Linked DNA regions of Oryctolagus cuniculus. Each later gene encodes a partner of the first gene's protein in a complex. Links are inferred from orthologs where the notes say so. Each region holds a gene or a part of one and is shown in the gene's direction. Other genes may lie near its edges.

Region 1 (5,175 bases):
TGTTCATAAACAATTTATGGTAATCTAGTGCTTCCCAAGACCCTAATTATGACTGATAACAAGAAATATTTTAACTGTTCTTCCTTAACAAAATCTCTGATTTTCTTAAACTTTAATATAAAAATATCATACAAGTGTTTTGGGAATACTATGTCAAATCAGCTAATTCTTTATTGAACAACTTTGTAATTCCAGCTAAATTAAACTAGAATATTTGGTACTATTTTGCCAACTTTGTTCAACAACTTCCTCATAGAAAACCTGACAACTCCTTTTCTCCAATCTAAATTTGTCATCAAGTCTTTAGAATTCTGAGGAAGTTTGACCAGTGGTTAGACAATGGTTTGGTAGGGCATGGTAACCTAACAGTAATAGAGAAGAGCTCTCTTTTCATAATTTGAATGACAGGCACTTGAGTTTTATTTAACTACACTAATGCATTCTATTTAAATATATCTAAGTAGTTATAACTTACCTGTATCCATAGTATCAATATGAGTTTTTTGTCCAAGGGTAACTGTAACTCTAACTCTACATAATGTTTTAGTTTCTTTATCTGTATTGATTCTGATCTACTATTTTCTAATCACATAGTAATTTAGATAAACTTTTATTGAAGGATATTCTGGTTTCCTTATCTCTACTTTTTTATAAAGGACTGTTCTTCAGTTTTTACCTCCCCCATTTTATTTTTTGATAGTCCATAGTCAAAGGTATTTTTCAAGCCAGAAACTGAGAGGATATGTACTAATATAAATTTTATTCAGCCCATATAATGGAGGTAGAAGAGGATTTGCAAATTAACTTGATTTTATGTTTGCTCAATCTCCTACATACTGTCTTTGCATTATATATTAGTTTTTGTTGAATGTAGTTAATTTTGTCTTTTCAATAAGGTTGCTAATCTTTTATAGTCTAACTCACTCGAATAGCTATGAGTAAAGACTTTACAAACCACAATTAGTAATCTTAGGGTAAGGGTCCTGAAGCTATCATATATCGCATTAAATTAATCAGCTTAATGTTAAAGCATAAAGAATAAAAATGTAGTAGAGAACACTCCTTGTGATATTGATTTAAAAAGAATTTCCAAGGTCTCTGTCATTCATGATACATGACAAGGTAATCTGTCTAAAATCAATAGCTTCCAGCTGGTCCTTCAAAGTATTCAGGGGCAGTGTTTCTTATTTTCGATGCTCTGGTACATGAACTATTAATGAGGCGTAAAAAATAGAATCTCAATCAGTGGGTATGTCTGTCAACATTTACCCTCTAATTTTTGAGGGTGTAATTTTTCACAGAGAGCTGGCATGTTTCATATAGAATTCCTCATAGTTACCATACTCTCTGAATTTGGATGTCTTTGGGTGGAAGTCGCTCTCTTAAATGAAGCACCTCTCTGTCTACCCTCATATGTGATTGGAAACATATTCAGAAGTAAGAACAGTAGGTATGCAATGGTGACTTCCTTGTATGAATAGTATAAATTTCTAAATCTTTGATGAAGAATTAATGAGTTCTTTTACTATAAAAAAAATTTATTGACCCCATGTGTAAGGCATATGAGCAGAACTCATTAACAGATGATAAATTTCTTGGGTTTTGGAGAAGAGAAAATATTCTCAAAAATAATCTAGGAAGACAATAAATGATTATCATTTTTAATAGATGTGTACTTGCCATTTTAAATGTATAAGTGACTGAAGTATCTTCAGGAGATAAAATGTCACTATCATGGGATTATATATTTTTTCTAAATCACATGATTATATTGGTGTTTATCCTTTTGTAAGAGATTCTTCTTGTGTTATTTAAATAACATGTTAGCTTTACCAATCAAAGATTGTTTCATGGTATCCTGTTTTGTTAAATAATATTAGCTCCCTGAAAACTTCTGAGTTCGAAAACAGAATTTGAAATCTAGGGAGGATGCATTGCCCTGACAATTCTGTTTCACAGTTTTGTCTCTTTTTGCTTTATTAAAATCCCAATTGTACTGATGGCTGCCCAGGATTCTGAAGAGTTAGCCTCTTATTATTGGAAAGCATGAGCTAGTGGTCTGCACTTCTGTTTTCCCTTAACTATTCAATTCTCAGATATCGACCAGTGGAACAAAGTCATTGAGCAACTAGGAACGCCGTGTCCAGAATTCATGAAGAAATTGCAGCCTACAGTAAGAAACTATGTGGAGAACCGGCCCAAGTATGCGGGACTCACCTTCCCCAAGCTCTTTCCAGATTCCCTCTTCCCAGCAGACTCCGAGCACAATAAGCTCAAAGGTATGCCGGTCTGGGTGGCAGAGGGCCGCTGTGGGAGTGACCAGCTAAGCAAGCCTGTTGATATGAAGACTTTTCTTCAGCTAGAACTATGCTCACATTAGGGAGAGTCATTTCCTAAAATATCTTCTTACAAAGGGTTGGGTTGTAGCCAAGAACTTTAGAATTGTTGGGATATTCAGAGGGAAAAATAAGAATAAAATATGTCCCAGTGCTGTGTGTTAACTATTTCCTGGTGTATTTAAAATCTTAAATTTAGTATCTCAAGTGTAACTCTATGTGATCAATATATATTGAAATCAATGTTCTTACTTTTTATTATCTGGGAAAGATTTTCAAAATAGTTATTAGTTATGAAACCTTAGAGGCAGATGTCTGATTTTCTTTTGTTGTGTTTTGTATAGTGCTTACCCTCTATTTTTTTCAGTTTAGAGTAGTAATTGAGATTTCAACTGTACATTTTTATTCAATATAAACAGTTTTATTAGTGATTTTTTTCCTACTGTGTCAGCAGTTATCTAATTGGACAACAAATCTTGATCCACACCTTCACACACAAAATGGATCTAAGAATGTTGCAGTTTCATTTGCAGACCAGGAATAAATTTAACAGCAGCTGGAGTATAATACAGAAATATTCTAATTCTTATACTTTAGATACTCCTGAGAATATGATTTTGAAAGAATCATATTTTATTCCCCTGCCTGGTTTAAATTATGCCTTTATTCCTTAAAATATGTGGGACTCTGGGCAAGTTTCCTGACCCTCACTTCTTTTAACAAATGAAGGTATGCAGTTCCTACCATATAGGGTTGTTCACAGGATTGATTGACATAATAGCTTGTCAAACACTTAGAATAATACCTAGATGATGGCAAACGCTCAATCCCTATTAAATATAATATGTAATATAATATTTTAACAATATATCTACAAATTATTAAAAATAAGAGGATATATACTTTGAAATTTAAAAGCAAATGTTCAGTGTGTAATTATCTACAGATTTAACTTACAAATTTAAATAAATAGCTAAGTTAGGCTAAAATAAGACAGAAAAGCTAAAATGTGGTACTACTATTTTCTAGGATCTTTTTGTCTCCTCTAAACTTTTACCTGCTGGGTTTTAAATATGCAACTTTGTTTCTATTTTCTTGTAGCTTAAATTACATAATTGAATTTTCTACTACAGTTGACACTACGGTCTCTTAATGGCAATGAACTAAATTATTACCACATCTGTTTTTTTTTTTTTTTTAAGATAAACTTTTTCCTATATGCAGCTTGAAAAAGACCTAATACTTCAAATAGAGATCTTTTAGAATTTATGGCTTCACAATACTGAGATATTATCCAAAAGTTATCCTTTCTTATAAAAACACTTGCAATAACAATAGGGATTCAAGGCCGGTGCGGCGGCTCAATAGGCTAATCCTCCACCTAGCGGCGCCAGCACACCGGGTTCTAGTCCCGGTCGGGGCGCCGGATTCTGTCCCGGTTGCCCCTCTTCAGGCCAGCTCTCTGCTGTGGCCAGGGAGTGCAGTGGAGGATGGCCCAAGTGCTTGGGCCCTGCACCCCATGGGAGACCAGGAGAAGCACCTGGCTCCTGCCTTCGGATCAGCGCGGTGTGCTGGCCGCAGCGGCCATTGGAGGGTGATCCAACGGCAAAGGAAGACCTTTCTCTCTGTCTCTCTCTCTCACTGTCCACTCTGCCTGTCAAAAAAAAAGAAAAACAAAAAACAATATGGATCCAGCAAACTCCTCATTTAATTATAACATAGTTATGCCAACACTTATAGAAAAACTCTTAACTCAAATATCATGCTTCATAATGTAATTCCAAGTTTCTATAGTTTATTTTCAACTCAGTTTGAACCTCTACAGTTATTTTAGTTTTGTAAACTAGTGTTTTATATACTAAACTATTTTACATTTTTATGATTATTTAGTTTTATTTTTAATATAAAAGTAACAAGTTATAAAGAATATACAAATAATTAAAGGGAATGATTTGTTCAATTATATTTGGAAAATGCTTGCCAACAAAAGAATGAGAGGCATTGAAACATTTCTGTCATTTGTTTCCTCTGAATGGTGTTGGTCACTATTTCTGAGTGAGATGACTTGCTATTGGGATACTTCGTGCCCCTACTGAGGAGGAGTCCTTTCTGGCCCCTCCCCTTTCTAAGAGCAGGAACATTGATGGGTTTTATGGGAGAATCTGTGGGAGTAGGATACATAAGACTGTAGAGAAAATCAGTTAGAAATCAGAGATCTATGAATCAATGAAAGAAATAAATCCTTGATGGGTTATTGACAATCAGGAAGATTAAATATTGAAAATTAACATACAAGTATTTCTATATTTTGGTCATTCTGTGAGCCTCACAGTTTTAGTGACTGTAATGATAATCAAATCCCAAGATTATTGCCAACAATAATGGTTAGTAGAAATGAAATTTCTTTACATCTAATTTAGCTAGTGATTTTCCATATTAGAATATAATATTGAGAATTATATTTGTTAAAATATAAAATTATCAGAAAATATATTAAAGAATAGGTGAATAATAGATTAAAATAATAAAATAGTTAAAATTATGTGAAAAATATGTGAACAGCATTAGAAAAATATATGCCAATATACATGGATTGTTTAGCTAGGGAAATAATTAATATTTCTTTGTGTTTTATGTAATTTTCATATTTGTACAATTTACTCATTTTTCCTTAATTTGGAAAAAAATAAATATTGTTATATGTCAATGGATGTAAACATATTGACTTTCTTAAATCAGTTTAGATCTTATATTTACTTTGAAGTTTTACAATGTGTTTGGAACAAACTAAGTGTTTTCACTTAAACTTTTAACTCAATTGGATAATAATGTCGGTTTA
Region 2 (4,580 bases), on another chromosome or scaffold:
TCCCCATCCTCTGTGGCCGGCACGGAGGGTCTCAGAGCTCAGCAGGCTACGGCTTCCCAGGATGCTGGGGTCCCGTGAGTCTGGAAGTCATCCCAGACTGGTCTCCCGCGTGGCAGGCAGGGACCCAACAGATCTGACCTGGCTTCTCATGGTGAATCAGGAGACCCCTCCGGCACTGGCCTGCACCCCTCTTTTCTGTGCTACAAGGCCCATGGGCGCTTCCCCAGGACTTCTTTAGTTCTCAGGGAAAAGGGAACCATCATCTAAGCAGCGACTGTGTGTGAATTACCGCTCATTAATCCTCCACGGAGAGAAAGCTGGAGCCCAGAGAAGTTAGGTTACCACTCAGCAAGGTGTGGAGTTGGGGTTTGGATTGAGGTCTGAGCCTGTTTTGTGTCCCCAACGTTCCTGAAGCCCTTGTCATTTGGAGTAATTCTCTGTGGGAGCTGCCAGGCTGTTTCTAAAGGCGAGGGAGGAGGAAAGACCTAGTAACACATGGGCTGTGTGCGGGCTCCAGGAGACTTGGAGACGAGGCCAGGGCCCTGCCTCTGGGCCTCGATGGTCCTGGTCCCCAGGGCAGGCGGAGCTCCAGAGCCCTGCGGAGGGAGCAAACAGGGACCCAGGTAGGCACTGAGTGCATGTTTGCGGAGCTCAGGAGTTAGCGGGGGCTAACAAAGACCCCCAGCTGCAGGCTCCGCAGGGCCAAGTCTTCCAGTGGCTCTTGCTTTTCCTGTAGGGCCAGAGGGGAGCTGGCCAGCCTGGCGTGGGCGGGGCCAGACCCCTTCCTGTGCAGCTGTGTGTCTCAGGGACACAGGTGGACAAGAGGGCCGCTCTGCCGCTGATTGCTCTTCCAGGTGGAGGGCAGGGTTACGGGTATCGCGAGGACCTCATGTCAGGGCTCCGGCTGCGGAGAGGCTTGGCAGGGCCGCAGTGTGTTCCCTGCGCTGTGTCTGAAGCAGGGCACCCTGGGAGGGGAAGTCGAAGGGGCAGGTGACCGTCAGCACCCGTGTGACTGACTGTCCCCTCGCCCCAGTGGCCTCGGAGGCCTTTGAAGACGACACCTGCAGCAACTTCGTGTCTGAAGATGACTCAGAAACGCAGTCGGTGTCCAGCTTCAGCTCCGGACCCACGAGCCCGTCGGAGACAGCCGAGCCGTTCCCTGCGGTGGCGAGGCCCGGCAGCCTGGACCTGCCCAGCCCCGTGTCCCTGTCGGAGTTCGGGCTGATGTTCCCAGTGCTGGGCCCCCGCAGTGAGTGCAGCGGGGCCTCCTCCCCCGAGTGCGAGGTGGAACGAGGTGAGTTGCAGCCTTGCCCTGTCCATGGAGCCTCGCGCTGTGGCAGGCCACTCTGTACCCTTCCACCCCTCGGCTGGGTCTCAGGGTCCCCCCAGTGCCAGGCGCCTGGGCCCCGGGTGCGCCTTTGCCGTGCTCCCCAGGGGGCTCCTGCCAGAGCCCAGGCCCTGTGCTCTCCAGGGCTCGAGTGTGGGAGCCGCCCTTTCTGTGCAGTGGGCAGCCCCTGGAGCCCCGCGGGTTGAGTGGGCCTCCTGGCCCCTGCCCATCTACTCACTTGAGCTCTCTCTATCTCCCCAGGAGACAGGGCGGAAGGGGCAGAAAATAAGACAAGTGACAAAGCCAGCCACAGCCGGGGTCTCAGCAGCGGCGGCGGCGGCGGCGGCGGCTGCCGGAAGGGCCCGAGCAGCGTGTCCCTGGAGGGCCAGGCCCTGGAGAGCCGGGTGCAGCAGCTCTCCCTCCAGTGCTCCAAGGGAAGAGAGGGGCTCATTGCCGACATAAACGTGGTGCAGATCGGCTGACCCGGCCCGTGGCCCTGTGAATACTATTTATACAGGAAACTGGAGAGCACCGTGCCAATAGTTGTTCACTCTATGCCAAATCTTAAGCATTTACTTTGAACTGAACTAATGAGGTCTCAGCGACCTTGGGGGCTGCAGATTGTTCTGGTAAGACCCCTGAGCTGGCTGGTGTTTCGGAGCAGAGCTGCTGTGGCGGGTGGACTGGGCCCGGCTCGCAGCGGCCTGTGTGCCGGCGCTGTGGAAGCAGTACCGCGTTCCTGGGAGAGCTGCGGAGCCAGGCCCGGCGTGCACCTGCCCCTCAGGCTGGCTGGGAGGAAGGAGGTGTTCCCTCCCTCATTCCCCAGGCCCCCTCCCCATCCCCACTGCCTCCCCCAGCAGACACCCTTTTCAGGGTGTTCCGAGCACCGTTTTGACCCAGTGAAGGCTTCAAGAAACCGAGAACGGAGTTTGCTGTCATCCACTTCCTATGGCGTTCAGAGGCCGCAGAAAAAAGTCACCGGGAATTGCACTTTTGGGGGTGGGATGGATGAGTGCCAGGGCGGGGGCGGGGGGCTGCGGACGGAAGGGGCGTTTCATAGAATAGGAGGGAAGGTTCCACAGCAGAGACCTCACCCTGCCAGCCAGCCGATCTTCGACGAGAAGTGCATGTGAGGAATGGCTTCCACTGTTCTCCAAGACTGACCAGTGTTCCTTTCTCTGTAGGTTGTAACGTAAGGAAATTATTTAAGGGGTTTGCAGCACTAGAGTTCCTTAGAGGAAGCTGTTCCTGAAAGGGAAGGGAGTAGGCATGTGTTGGCAAAGGCTGTCAAACAGGAGCAGTGGCGTCTGGTATGCTAATAGTAGTGTTAAGACCGCTTTATCTTTCTTCCTCTCTTGGTTACGCATACTTAGAGCACCCTATTTTATTTTATTTTATTTTGGCCCTGTTTTGTTTCGGGAAATCCAGCATTTCTGAACGAGGGGAAAAGCAGCCTCTCCCTTTCAGGCTGTGTGTTACGTCGCAGCGTCTGCATCTTAGGCGTTTGCAAAGCTCTTCATACTGCGTGATTTCTCCTTTTTTATTCACTGATACAATATCCTACTTACAAGATTATTTTGTACTTGTCTTATACCTTGAGTGTAATAAAAACGGCTTAAGAAACCTTGTGTTTGGCGACTTCAGTTAAGAAAATCCCAGTGTTCTTGGCGCAGGGTGGGGCATGAAGGTGGTGGCCACCTGTTCTCATTTGTCACTCCTGGTCGGGAATCCTGACAGCAGGGACCCGGTTCCCCTTCCGCTGCTGCGGTGAGCGGCGAGCAGGCAGCGGGCGGGGATGAAGGGAAGCTGGCAAGCGCCGGAGCTGTGCGCTGCCTCCTCACCCCAAGAGGCTGCTACCTGGGAGTTGGGGCGCACGTGGGCTTCGGACCTGGAGGAAAACTCAGGTCTGGGAGTCCGATGGTCATCTTGGGCCCTGTGTCTCATGGAGATGTCCCCGTGTCAGTGTGCTACACGCTGAAGTCTGCTGTGGGGGACAGAGTGCGTGGTTTCAGGAAAGCTCATAACCCTTTGCACTGTGAACGAGAAATACTTTTTTCCTAGTTAATATTTCCTGTCCTACAGAAAAGCTCCCAGAAGGCCCTTCCACTAGATTTACAAATAAAACAGCTACTCAGTTCTCATGAAACCCCCTTGCACTGTGAATTCCCAGACCCCTTCCTGAATTACTGTCAGAAAAACTGCTCCCCGCAGTTGAAACATTGTTTCACTTTCTCCCTTCCAGAAGAGCAGCCACACTAGGAGGGTTTGCAGCTCCTCCACCTGTGTGTGGGTGGCAGATTTCTCTTGTAAATACACAGAAACCACAAAAATACATTTCACTAACTTTTTATAGTATTTTTTAAAGATTTTATTTATTTGAAAGAGTCACACAGAGCGGGGAGAGGGGGAGAGCGAGCGAGCTATCTTCCATTCGCTGGTTTACTCCCCAATTGGCTGCAACAGCTGGAACTATGCTGATCTGAAGCCAAGAGCTTCCTCCAGGTCTCCCACGCGGGTGCAGGGGCCCAAGGACTGAGGCCATCTTATTCTGCTTTCTCAGGCCATAGCAGAGAGCTGGATCAGAAGAGGAGCAGCTGGGACTAGAACCAGCACCCATATGGGATGCCAGCGCTTCAGGCCACGGCGTTAATCCGCAGCACCACAGCACTGGCCCCAGAATATTTCACTAATGATTCAGAACGAAACTCTGAGTCCTTCCGGCAGAGTTTGGAAGACTAAAGCCTTACGTCATCAAGGTAGTGTCCTGGATTTGGGCGCTAGGACTGCTGGGTAATCTATTTCTTTGCTGACTTCAGACTCTGGCTCCCTCTGACCCTGCCCCCTCCTGACGCTCCTCGCGGACTGCTGGGTGATGCGGTGCCCACCCCTGTCACTGCAGCCGCCTCTGGGAATCCCTGCTCACCTGGCTTCTTTACCTCCCCAGACCCCCCACTCCTTATCTTCATAGTTACTACTTCTAAAAATGTGGTCCCTAAACCAGTTCTTAGCCACTTCTACTTCACATGTGACTTCTGATTTTGGGGTAGCTCACTCGTCGCCATGTGCTTACTGCAGACCTGGGTTTTCCTGGACCACCTTCCTTTAATGGGCTTCTCTGAACTCTCCAAGCTCTGCCCGCAGGCCAACAGCCACCCTCCAACTCCATCGACTCCTGACTGGTTTCTCTGTCTCCACTCTACCCCACCGTTGGAACTGAGGACCTCAGAAGGGCCTGGCCTGGCCTGGGATTGGC
Region 3 (5,175 bases), on another chromosome or scaffold:
TGTTTGGAGAAGAGGGAGGAGGGAGCAGGGTCCTGGGGAGGGTTGTGGCTTGCATAGGGGACACCTTGGTTGATTGCTCCCCCCACCCCCACCCAGTCCTTGGTGGTCCCTTCTGGTCCTCCTCACCTGCCCCCTGAGGTTGGTGGGCAGGGGGATGGGTGGCCTCCCTCTGTATGGGGGATGCTGAGGCCGGAGATGAGCCCCTCGTGTCTGAGCCTTGGTGTTCCTCATCTGCTTAACGGGTGGCAAAGAGCCCTCCCGCAAGATCATGGTGAAGGTTGAGGTGAAGGTGCACGGAGTAAGGGTCGAAGGCTAGGGCCGGCAGCTGCTTCTCAGTGAGTCGGGGTTTGGTCTGAGCCCTCCTGCCCCAAGCTCCCACCGGAGGTCAGGGCAGCACTGGGCCCAGAGAAGCCGGGCACAGGATTCGGCCCCTAGCAGGTCGCCTTCAAGGGCTGTGGGGTTTTTTGTTTTATTCATTTGAAAGGCAGAGAAACAGAGAGCTTCCTTCTGTCGGTTCACTCCCCCAAATGACAGCAACAGCTGGGGCTGGGCCAGGCCAAAGCCAGGAGCCTGGAACTGCATGCGATGCCCCACGTGGGTGGCAGGGGCCCCAGTACTTGGGGCCATCTTCTGCTGGGTTCCCATAGCAAGAAGTTGGATCGGAGGCGGTGCAGCTGGGACTCGAACCAGTGCTCCAATGCAGGAAGCTGGTGTTGCAAGCGGTGGCTTAACCTGCCGCACCCAACACCGGCCTCACCTTGGAGGGTTTTGAGCAGGGCCAAGATGGGTGATGGTGTTTCCAGCAGTTTTGCCTGATGGTGGTGGGTGGGGTGGTACAGGATTGGGGAGACTGAGGCAGGGAAGGCCCTGGAGGGGTCTGGGAGGGCAGAGGCAGGCCCTGGACTAGGGCTCAGCCGTGAGGATGTGCTGACGTATGCAGGGGGCATCTCCTGTGGCTCCGGGCGACACTGGCTGGGTCCGGGGCCCCTGTGTGCTCGCTGCTTTTGTATTTGGGGGTTCTCATCCGAGGTCCAGAGGTGCTGCAGGGCCCTGGCTGGACTTGGGGGCCACTCTGGCTTCTGGACCAGGCCTTCCTACTTCCACATACACTGCGGGGTGGGGGGGGGCCTGGGAACCAGCACCCCTAGGCTGCCGGTCAGAAGGGGCCTTAAAGAGCCCCTGCTGTGTGGCTCCGTCCGGAGGCCTCCGGGTTCTGTTGATGTCACTGCAAGGTGACAGGGAGCTCGTGACCACCCTGCAGCCCTCCAGCTGGGCTCCGAGGAGCCCCAGCACCAGCCTGCTCCTATCTCTGCCTCCAGAGTCCCCTGTACCCCTTGGCCCTTCCTTCCTGGCTCCAGAGGCAACCCTAGGCCTGGCTGGGGTAGGTCGGGACCTGCCTGCGTCCACAGAGTCTCCGTGATGCTGGGTGAGGCTGGGGTATCCGTTCTCGGGGATTTCGGGGCGCCTCCCCATCTCCCACCTGGCTCCCTGAATGTGGTGCTGGCCCTTTAAAACAGAGCAGGGGCTGGGTTTTAGGGGGAAACTTCCCAGATTTCTGCCATCTGTGTACCAGCCTGGGCCGGAGAGGGGGGCCCTGGCCCTGGACAGGGGCATTGGAAGGGCAGGTGGAGCCCGTAGCATTGATCGCGGTAACCTGATCCCGCGGCAGAGGCGGCGACAGAGCCTTGGCCGCTGCGGCTTCGCCATGGGCCGGCTGAGGGAGGCTGCCTGCGGCTGAGGGCTGGGCCGGGAAGGGCTGGGGCTGGGCCCGGGTCGGCAGCTGCTGCCTCCTCTCCCTGCCCATTTATTTTTAATGAGCTCCTGGGCTTCTGCAGCGGGCAGGAGGCAGAGGGGCAGGCCCAGGCGGTGGAGGCCGGCGGCCCTAGCCCTGCCTTGAGCCCCGGCCGCCCCCCCCCTTTCTGGGCATGAGAGGGCAGCCCTGGGGCCCCGCAGCCCCCCGGCCGGGCAGGGCTGTCCATGCAGCTGGTGCTGAAGATGGATTCGAGCCCCGACAATGACAGCTGGTTGGAGGACCAGTGGGAGCGCTGGTAGGGGGTGTGGGGGTGGGGCCGGGTGTCGCGGGGAGCTCCGTGGAGCTAAGGGTCTCTGTTTGGTCTGATTGAGGTGAGAGGCAGGGGTGTGGGCCTCCCATGTTCCCCTGGGCGCTGGGCCGCTACCTCTCCTGGGTGACCTTGGACCAGTGGGTTTGCCTTGCCCTACGCCTGCCTCCTGGTGTTACCTGGGGGGAAGGCTCCGACATTCTCTCCAACTTCCCACACCACACCAGGGCTGGGGAGGAGCCGGGCAGGGACAGGCAGGGCCCGCAGTGGGAGGCCCAGCCCTGCTCTCCAGGGTGGGTGCACGGAGCTGGCCCAGGCCGTGGGAGGTGAGGCTGCAGTGTCGAAGTGGCACCCGAGCTCCTGGCACCTCCAGCCCCAGCCGGGAGCCTCTCTCGACCCCACCAGGGCAGGTTCCTGTTCTGGGTCCTTAGCCTGGGCACGGAGGAAGCAAGAGTTGAGCCCAAGCACACAGGGTGGAGGCACAGCCTCTCCTGGAGTGGACGCCAGATTCCCATTCACTCATTCTCAGGGCTCACGGTCATGGGCACTCTGGGCTGGGGGCGTGGAGCACTCCTGTGAGCCTGCTGCACCCCTGCCGACCCCTTGGGTCTCCGTACTCCTTACCCCTTGGATTGCGTGGGGACCTTCCTACCCCAGGTGGCCTTGGCCTTCTCTGCAGGTGCCCTTGTCTTGGCACCTGCCTTGACCCTGGCAGAGCTGAGGCTCTGACCTCTGGGCCTTCTAGGCACCACCTGGGGGTTGGCAGCAGGTGCACAGCTCCCAGCCGGGAGGAGCAGGAGTGACCCGGAGCCTCCCACCCCACAGCTGCCCTAGAGGACTGCCTTTGGGCATGTCCCTACTTGGTGACCGCCTCCCACATGGGAGCAGCTGGACCCCGGGTCCCACCCTCCGGAGCCGACGATCGGCCTGTTTGTTAGAGGCTGCCCTTTGGCAGGCCTGGCCGACCCTCTGGGTTGTAACTCTGGCTTCCTGTCCCCCCCAGGCTCACCCACGACATCAGCCTCGAGGAGTTTGAGGATGAAGACCTCTCAGAGATCACTGACGAGTGTGGCATCAGCCTGCAGTGCAAAGACACCCTGTCCTTCCGGGTAAGGGCGGGCTCCTGGCTCCCCGGAGACCCCGAGTAGGGCGGCAGATGGGTGGGGATGGGAGGGAGGCCCCCAGGCTACAAAGGGGGCTTTCAGGTCCGGTGGCACCCTCATGAAACGGTGTGCAGGCAACACCCAGTGCAGCGCTTGGCACGTCTTGGGTGCGCAGTCAGAATTTGATTTTTCTGCCCCAGGGGCTCAGGCAGGAAGCCGGAGGCCTTGAGATCCAGGAGTGGGGCAGGAGGGCCAGAGTCCCTTGGGGAGCCGTTCCTGGCCGGGAGCCTCAGGCAGAGCAAGGGTGGAGTCTGGGACTCTGCAGTGCTTTGGGGACAGGACAGAGGCGCCAGGAATGACCCGGAAGAACTCCTATGGCTGCTGGCTGCCAGTGCGCCGTACCACGCCGAGGCCCTCACGGAGGGCGTGGCCCAGCATTGCTGATGCTTTGGGCCCTTTGGGCCTGGCACAGGGAAGATGGCTGTCTCCCGGCGCGGCCAGGAGGCACTCAACAGCCTCGGTCTTGCAGAGCAGGAAGAAGGAGCCAGGTAGCCCGCAGGACGAGGGCCAAGCTCGGGGCTGGGTTTGAGAGCCCTGCACTTCCTTCCGCCCCCAGGAGGGCGGGAAGCCAGATGTGGTATTGGGGTGGGGGGCTGCCATGAGGGTCGCGGGAGAGGCACCAGTCTCTGTGCAGACCTCTTGCTACCCGCGGAGGTTCTGTAAGCTCTTCCAGGCAAGAGACAAGGGGTGAGGAATCCTCCAGTCCTTACTGCAACCCTCTAGCCTGTGGCCAAGTCAGGAAGGAAGGGACACAGAGACCACTTACTGTGGACCTGGGGAGGGGTCCCAGGGCCCTGACGAAGCTTCCCTCCGAGGCCATGCACCTGTCTGGAGTCTCACGCCACCCTCTCCCCACCATGCACCGTCAGGGCCTTGGAGAGGGCGGGCCCTGCATTTAGCTGGGGCCCCGGGGGAGCACTGGCTGTGGGACGGGGGCGGTGGCCTTAGATGCGCCCCAGGGGCTCTCAGACACGCTTGCCAGGAATGGAAGGGTCAGGGGATCTGTCCAAGGTGCCAGGCAGGCAGTGGCAGAGCTGGAACTGGGAGGGGCTGTCCCCTAGGAAGGCAGGGCTAGCTTGCCCATGGAGAGGCCTGGGCCCCTGGGGTCCGACCGCCCCTGTCCCCCGCCTCGGCGACCCTCTTCCGGCGCTCCCAGGGACTCCAGTCCGCAGTACGGCCCTCCTCTCCTGGCCAGAGACTCGGTTTTCCCAGGGTCCCTCCTAGACTTCTTCAGATACAAATGTGCGCCCCCTTCTCCCCAATCTCTTGCGGGGGCCCAGCTCCTCGGGCGACCCCACGTCTCCATGGCAACAGCGGTGACTTCATTCTGGGAGCTGCTTACAGCCCGGGTGAGGTCATCGGCCGTTGCCAAGGGAACGGGAGGGTGCAAGGAGCCGGAAGGGGGGTCCGCGGGGAGGGGAGAGGGTGGTGTTCTGCAAAGGGGGCGATCGGGCGGGGAGGGGCGGCCGTGCGCTTCCCGCAGGGGCGGCCCGGAGCCCCCTCTCTTCCCTGCCGCTGCTCTCCGCCCCCCGCTTCGTGGCCGCGCAATGGATTCGTCCGGGCAGGGGGCGGTGCGCGGCGGCCTCGGCCCCGCCCCACCCGGCGCGGCCCCGCCCCCTGACGCCCCTCCGTCCGCGCCGCGCAGCCCCCGCGCGCCGGGCTGCTCTCTGCGGGCGGCGGCGGCAGCGCGGGGAGCCGGCTGCAGGCCGAGATGCTGCAGATGGATCTGATCGACGCGACCGGGGACACTCCCGGCGCCGAGGACGACGAGGAGGACGACGAAGAGCGCGCGGCGCGGCGTCCGGGAGCGGGGCCGCCCGAGGCCGAGCCCGGTCAGGGACCGGCGTCCCGCGGCCAGGGCCAGAGCCAGGGCCCAGGCAGCGGGGACACATACCGCCCCAAGCGGCCCACCACGCTCAACCTCTTCCCGCAGGTGCCGCGGTCTCAGGTGA
Region 4 (5,888 bases), on another chromosome or scaffold:
AGGGTTTCACCCACTTTTACTGATACCTTGGAAGTGTGGGGAGAGCAGAATATAATGAAGGTGATCCCTCTTTCTATAGAGTCAGATGAGAGCTAAAGAAAAAGCCATCTTAAATTCTGTTCTCCCTCTCTGGGCTGGTTGCACTGAAGCTGGCATAGCTCATGGGTATGATTTGAAGGTGAGTACAGCTCTCTAATTTTTTTCCCACAGTGACACAATTGACTATACATTTTTCTGATAACCCAAGGATTTGGATTGGACATCTCTGCACTTGAAATGTCCTAAGTAGAAATTTCTAAGTGGACATGTGCTGAGGAGGTAACTTTAACATGGGCCATGTCAGGAATGTTCAGGAAAACCCTGGGCTGTCAAGAGTGGGTCAAGAAAGATCTGCCATGAGATGAAAGCTACGAAACAAATCAACTAAACTGTCTAGGTCCATGCTGCCTCATCTCATCTCAGATTCAGGGGGTTATTTATGCCTTGCTTCCCCCTGCTATTTCACTACACACACACACACACACACACACACACACACCTCTAACTCCCTACCTCTTGATCCCACTAGTAAAATCCCAATTAATCCCTTGTATTAGGCTACATCTTCAGGATACCATGAAAATCCAGAGGTTCTCTCCCTCAGCCACAGATTAGTTAGGCAAGACATAGGAGTTATGCAGACATAGGAGATACCCTAGTGTATAGTATTCTGGGTTATATTTAGCTACAGACAAGCAGGAACTGCTTGCTTTTTAAATTTTTCATTATTTATTTGATAGACTGGTTCACTGCTCAGATGCCTGCAATGCCTGGGGCTGGGCCAGGACCACAGGAAGAGCTGGGAACCCAATCCAGGTCTCCCATGTGCGCTCAGGAACCTGATTTTAAGCCATCACTGTTGTCACTAAGGGTCCATTAGCAGGAAGCAAACCACGTACTCCAATGTGGTATGTAGTTGTCTTATTACTTATGTAAGAGGCAGAGAAACAAAGAAGGGTGCTATTTCCATGTCATACTCTAATTTGGTGTTTTTTGGTCCTCTAGGAAACGTTAATAGGGGGTTGTTGCAGTTTTAAAGGGCTAAAGTCAGCTCTATTAAAATTGATATATTTTTATCTGTAAAAGGAAAAATAATAAAATAGAATACACTTAATATGGAGGCTTTGCTCTTAGAAACAAGTCGTTGCTTAGTTTTTAAATGATGGTGATATACTGGAAATACAGTGTATTTTGGTAAATTACTTCAAACAAAATTACATGCTAATATCCTACACTGTACTAGGTGCTGGGAAAAAGAACTCCGAAAACCCAGTTCCAGTTATAGCTTAGTAAATTCAAAGAAAACTCATCCAAGGTAAAGGCTTTTTCTTTTCGTTTCAGAACCCACTTCTCTTGCTTGATTATCGGCAAACTCCGCCTCTCCCAAATCTCAGCCGAACCGAAGCTCCCCCTCCCAGTCTTCCGGGTAGCTGGGAGGTGGGCTAGAGGCTCCCCTCCCCTCGATTTTCCCACCTCCCTACCGGGGCCAGGAAGTGACAGCAACGGAAATAGGGTGAGATCTCAGAGCTGGGCTCGGAGAACGCGTCCTGCTTTCTTTCCAGCCACTCGCCGTGTCTCACAAGCCAAGCCCGACACCCTCCCGCGCCCTACACAGCCACCTGCTCCGGCGCCCCAGCACCCGCGCCCGCCTCCAGCTGGCTGCCAATCACAGCCTTCCGCAGCTCCAGGGTTACCGAGACGACGCTCCTTGGGTTCTCTGATCCCGCCCCTTCCAGAACTGCTTCCCGCCCTTCAGGCTCCTTCTCCAATCATCTGCGCCCGGGTGTTCTTTTGTTCCCGCCCCCTCCGTCCCCGCCCTCCTGAGGGCCCGCCCATTTCCTTAAGCTTGACGGAATCACCTGACCCGGAGGCGCTCCCTCAGAAGGAAGGCAAGAAGGGGCGTGTGCGTGGCGGGCCGGGACGCGAGAAGAAAGGGGGGATGCTGGGAGTGGGGCGGAGAGAAGGGTTGTCAGTCTGATCTCGCGAGAGAGGACGGAAGCCTGTGGGAGCCCGTGGCCTTTAAAGTGCGGTTCAGCCCTTTCCTCCGGGGTAGTTTGTAAACACGGCTGTCCTCGGGCTCCTGGGCGACCGAAAGGATCATGAGCCAGTGACCTGCAAAGGTGAGTAGTGATGGGGAGAGGGCCGCAGGGCTGGCGACCGTAGGGAAAGAGAAAGAAGGCGCTAACATGGCGACGTCGCTCACCATAGTCCCCATCCCCCGCCTCATCACCCCTGGCGCTCCTGCCGTGGTCCCTAGCCCTGGGGGCGAGCGAGGCTGTGCTGCCATCTCAGCGGCGCGCGCGGCTTCCGCGTCGGGAGCCTGACCGGCCGGGCCGGACCGTTAGGTAACTGGCGTTCGTTGTTCCGGCCCCTCCCTCTCGCGCGCTTTCCTAACGAAGAGGAAAAAGGGATAACGGCTCCCCTTAGACCCCTCCCTCCGATCTTGCCTCCCTTTCCCTGGTCGGTTCCGGGGCCCCCGGGGCGTCGGGCCCGCCGAGTGCGCGGGGCGGGGGGAGACACCCCCGTCTCAGCCCTTGGATTGGGCAGGAGCAGGGCCCACTATGGTCTCTCTCCACGCAGGACTCTTGCGGTTGAGGACCGTGGGTTTGTGATGGTGGCGGGGAGGAGGATCGCGAGGCGAGGCTGAAAATAGGGTCAGGGTCCCTGCCTTCGGCGGAACCTGACGAAATGAATGGTGGCGAGAGCCTGGGAGCCTGGAGTCGCGGCCCTTTCTGTCCTTTCTGCCACCCTCACATTCCCGCCACCCCCCAGTTTTTCCAGGTGGGGCGGGGCCAAGGTGTGGGTGCAGACTGATTCTGGTATTTTCCCTCTTCGTTTGCTTCCCTGGGTGGACTACAGATCTTCTATGGGGATTTTTTTTTTTTTTTAAATCGGTACCCTAGGGTCTAGGACTGAGAGAGGACGAGGTGTATATGTGTGTGTGTGTGTGTGTATGTGTGTGTGTTGTATGCTGGTTCCTAGATCAGAAGCTAGGAGGAGGACTGAGGAGGAGGGGCAGGGGACGACTTGTACTCCCAGGTAGTATAAAATTACCTCGAATACGGTGGAGCAAAATAAATTACCCCTGATGGACCTCAGGGCTATTGACTAATCCTAAATTATAATGTGAAAGTTATGAATTATGGAGGCAGTCACCATGTATATACTTAATGCATATATTTGAAATCAGAACAAAAACTGCTTCTCTGAGCACACTTCTTACTTGAAGAAATTCGTAACCACTGGCATTGCCAGTGTCAGTAATAACCATATTAGGCATAATGTTCAATAGCCAAGTAGCCCAGATCTGTTGTACCGAAATTATGAAGGTAAGACTTTGTTTATAAAGCCTTGTCAAAAGAACTCTGAACTAGAAACACAGTTTGTTTCATTGGTTTAAAGAATCGACTGTAAACACTTTTATCAAAATGATGGGAACTTTCTGTAAAGTATGTTAAAAAAAATACACTACACCCTTCTGCAAGTCAAAAAGACTTAACAAAGCTCATGGATCTTTAAGGTCAATAGTTGAGAATGCTGGTCTTTGTAAAATAATTTGCAAGAATCTTCCACATCTACAGTGATATTTATGCTGCCTTCCTAAGACATGTTTAATCTTGACTTGAGAGGATGTTGCTGCTGTTTTTTTTTTTTAAATTGAAATGTATATGTGTAGTTTAGAACTTAAGTTTTTAAAATTTTAATTGTCTGGAGTTTTCAGGGACTTTTTTTTTTCTGTGTGTTTAAGGTACGTAATGCCTATGTAGATCTGGTAGAATTTCATGTAAACTCTTTTTCAAATACCTTATTAGAATGTTGGTTTTGTATTTGGGGCACTGTACTATCAAAAACATTGCAGAAATTCCTTCATTAACTTTTTTATGTGGGATTTTGGTTTCTTTCATTAAATTTGTTTTGAAGTTTGTTAGAGAGACAGAACTCCCACCTGCTTGTTGTCTCCTCAAATGCCTACAACCTCTGGGACTGGGCCAGGCAGAAGCCAAGAGACAGGAACTCAGTCCAAGTATTCCATGTGGGTAGCAGGGACCCAACTACTTGAGCCATCACTTCTGATTTCTGGGGTTTACATCAATTGGAAACAGAAGCTGGAGCCAGTTATCAAACCTGGGTACTGGGAACCCCTGTATATGGGACAATGGCATCTTAACCAGTAGGTTAGATCTTTATTTTTTATTAATGTTTTAAAAATATCTATTTATTTATTTGACAGAGTTACTCAGAGAAAGGAAGAGACAGAGAGGGAGAGAGATCTTCTATCCACTGGTTCACTCCCCAAATGGCCATAACAGCTCAGTGCTGGGCAAGGCTGAAACCAGGATTCAGGAGCTTCTTCCAAGTCACCCATGTGGGTGCAAGGGCCCAAGCACTTGAGCCATTATTGCATACTTTCCCAGGCATGTTAGCAGGGAGCTGGATTGAAATTAAGCAGCCAGCTCTTGAACCAGCACCCACGTGGGATGTCAGCATTGCAGGCGGCAGCTTGACCCATTATACTGCTGCGCTGGCCCCCATCTTTATTTTTTAACTAAACTGTAGAAATAGTTATTACTGCAACTCCTTCACAAAAAATTGAGGGAGTACTTTTCATTGGTATTCAGGATTTGGAAGTTAAATGAGTATTTTTTTAAAATGATATGCTAGATTGGGCATTTGGCCTGGCAGTTAAGATACCGGTTAGGATGTCCATATCTCACATCACACTACTTGGGTTCCATTGCCTGCTCCAGCTCCAGCTCCATGTTATAGCTTTGTGCAGATGTGGACCTTAGGAGACAGCAGTGAAGGATGAAGTTGTTGGGTCCTGTCACCCAAATGGGAGACCTGTATTGAGTTCCTGGATCCTGGTGTTATTCCTTCCTGACCCTCCCTACCACTGGCCACTGTGGGCATTTGGAGAGTGAACCAGTGGATGGGAGTGTTTTCTGTCTCTTTGACTGTCAAATAAGTAAAAAATTGAAGAGATGTGTTGTCCATCAAACATCTACTATCTTTAATTAGCATTAACTAGAAGAAGTCATCTACGCTTCTACTTAAATTTTTTATTTTGGAGATGGGCATTTAGCCTAGTGTTAAGACACTGCTTAGGACACCCATATCACATATCAGACTGCCTAAGTTCAAGTCCCACTCCACTCCCAACTCCAGCTTTCTGCTAATGAACACCTAGGATAACAATGGATTATTACAAATAGTTGAATTCTGCCACCCATGAGGGAAGACAAGATTCAGATTGAGTTTCTAGCTCCCAACTTTCAGTATGGCCAAGTCCCGGCTATTGCAGGCATTCAGAGAGTGAACCAGAAGATGAGAGCTCTCTTTATGTCTCTGCCTCTCTAAATTTTTGCATTTTGGAAAACTTGATTTTTTTTTAAAGGTATATTTATTTATTTGAAAGTCAGAGTTACACAAGGAGAGGAGAGGCAGAGAGGGAGGTCTTCCATCCGCTGGTTTACTCCCCAATTGGCTGCAACGGCTGGCTGCACTGATCTAGAGCCAGGAGCCAGGAGCTTCTTCCAGGTCTCCCATGTTGGTGCAGGGGTCCAAGGACTAGGGCCATCCCCTACTGCTTTCCCAAGCTGTAGCAGAGAGCTGGAACAGAAGTGGAGCAGCTGGGACTCAAACCAGCACCCATATGGGATGCTGGTGCTTCAGGTCAGGGCGTTAACCTGCTGCGCCACAGCGCCGGCCCTGAAAAACTTCATTTCTAATTATTTATTCTCTGCTGATAAGTTGTGATATCAAACAATTCCACCATACTTGCTAAAGTATTCCACTCATTTTTTCTTTTTTCTTCTTTTTTTTTTTTTTTTTTTTTTGACAGGCAGAGT

What was found.
Region 2: the proteins of MAPK10 (region 1) and SH3BP5 are in contact, whole or in part, in a crystal structure (PDB 4H3B), measured with the Homo sapiens proteins. The link is inferred for Oryctolagus cuniculus from reciprocal best matches to the Homo sapiens genes MAPK10 and SH3BP5. Residues at the interface, in NP_620448.1 of Homo sapiens: Lys121, Asp150, Ala151, Gln155, Val156, Met159, Leu161, Glu164, Arg165, Tyr168, Tyr171, Val197, Lys198, Ser199, Asp200, Cys201, Trp362, Asp364, Glu367; in NP_004835.2 of Homo sapiens: Val341, Val342, Arg343, Pro344, Gly345, Ser346, Leu347, Asp348, Leu349, Pro350.
Region 3: the proteins of MAPK10 (region 1) and MAPK8IP1 are in contact, whole or in part, in a crystal structure (PDB 3PTG), measured with the Homo sapiens proteins. The link is inferred for Oryctolagus cuniculus from reciprocal best matches to the Homo sapiens genes MAPK10 and MAPK8IP1. Residues at the interface, in NP_620448.1 of Homo sapiens: Asp150, Ala151, Gln155, Val156, Met159, Leu161, Glu164, Arg165, Tyr168, Leu169, Tyr171, Val197, Lys198, Ser199, Asp200, Cys201, Trp362, Asp364, Glu367; in NP_005447.1 of Homo sapiens: Pro158, Lys159, Arg160, Pro161, Thr162, Thr163, Leu164, Asn165, Leu166.
Region 4: the proteins of MAPK10 (region 1) and ATF2 are in contact, whole or in part, in a crystal structure (PDB 4H36), measured with the Homo sapiens proteins. The link is inferred for Oryctolagus cuniculus from reciprocal best matches to the Homo sapiens genes MAPK10 and ATF2. Residues at the interface, in NP_620448.1 of Homo sapiens: Asp150, Ala151, Gln155, Met159, Glu164, Arg165, Tyr168, Val197, Lys198, Ser199, Asp200, Cys201, Trp362, Glu367; in NP_001243019.1 of Homo sapiens: Lys48, His49, Met51, Thr52, Leu53, Lys54, Phe55.

The regions. Positions count from the first base shown.
Region 1 is NC_091439.1:81,337,401-81,342,575, reverse strand, and holds part of MAPK10 (mitogen-activated protein kinase 10), read left to right. Parts: intron 1-2,096; coding exon 2,097-2,279; intron 2,280-5,175. UniProt on the Homo sapiens protein: Serine/threonine-protein kinase involved in various processes such as neuronal proliferation, differentiation, migration and programmed cell death.
Region 2 is NC_091435.1:150,920,808-150,925,387, reverse strand, and holds the end of SH3BP5 (SH3 domain-binding protein 5), read left to right. Parts: intron 1-1,033; coding exon 1,034-1,294; intron 1,295-1,588; coding exon 1,589-1,809; 3' UTR 1,810-2,950; downstream 2,951-4,580. UniProt on the Homo sapiens protein: Functions as a guanine nucleotide exchange factor (GEF) with specificity for RAB11A and RAB25. Inhibits the auto- and transphosphorylation activity of BTK. Plays a negative regulatory role in BTK-related cytoplasmic signaling in B-cells.
Region 3 is NC_091432.1:20,070,934-20,076,108, reverse strand, and holds part of MAPK8IP1 (C-Jun-amino-terminal kinase-interacting protein 1), read left to right. Parts: intron 1-1,580; exon of another isoform or gene 1,581-1,977; coding exon of another isoform or gene 1,978-2,048; intron 2,049-3,063; coding exon 3,064-3,169; intron 3,170-4,868; coding exon 4,869-5,171; intron 5,172-5,175. UniProt on the Homo sapiens protein: The JNK-interacting protein (JIP) group of scaffold proteins selectively mediates JNK signaling by aggregating specific components of the MAPK cascade to form a functional JNK signaling module. Required for JNK activation in response to excitotoxic stress.
Region 4 is NC_091434.1:65,972,730-65,978,617, forward strand, and holds the start of ATF2 (cyclic AMP-dependent transcription factor ATF-2), read left to right. Parts: upstream 1-1,877; 5' UTR 1,878-1,928; exon of another isoform or gene 1,929-2,159; intron 2,160-2,298; exon of another isoform or gene 2,299-2,384; intron 2,385-5,888. UniProt on the Homo sapiens protein: Transcriptional activator which regulates the transcription of various genes, including those involved in anti-apoptosis, cell growth, and DNA damage response.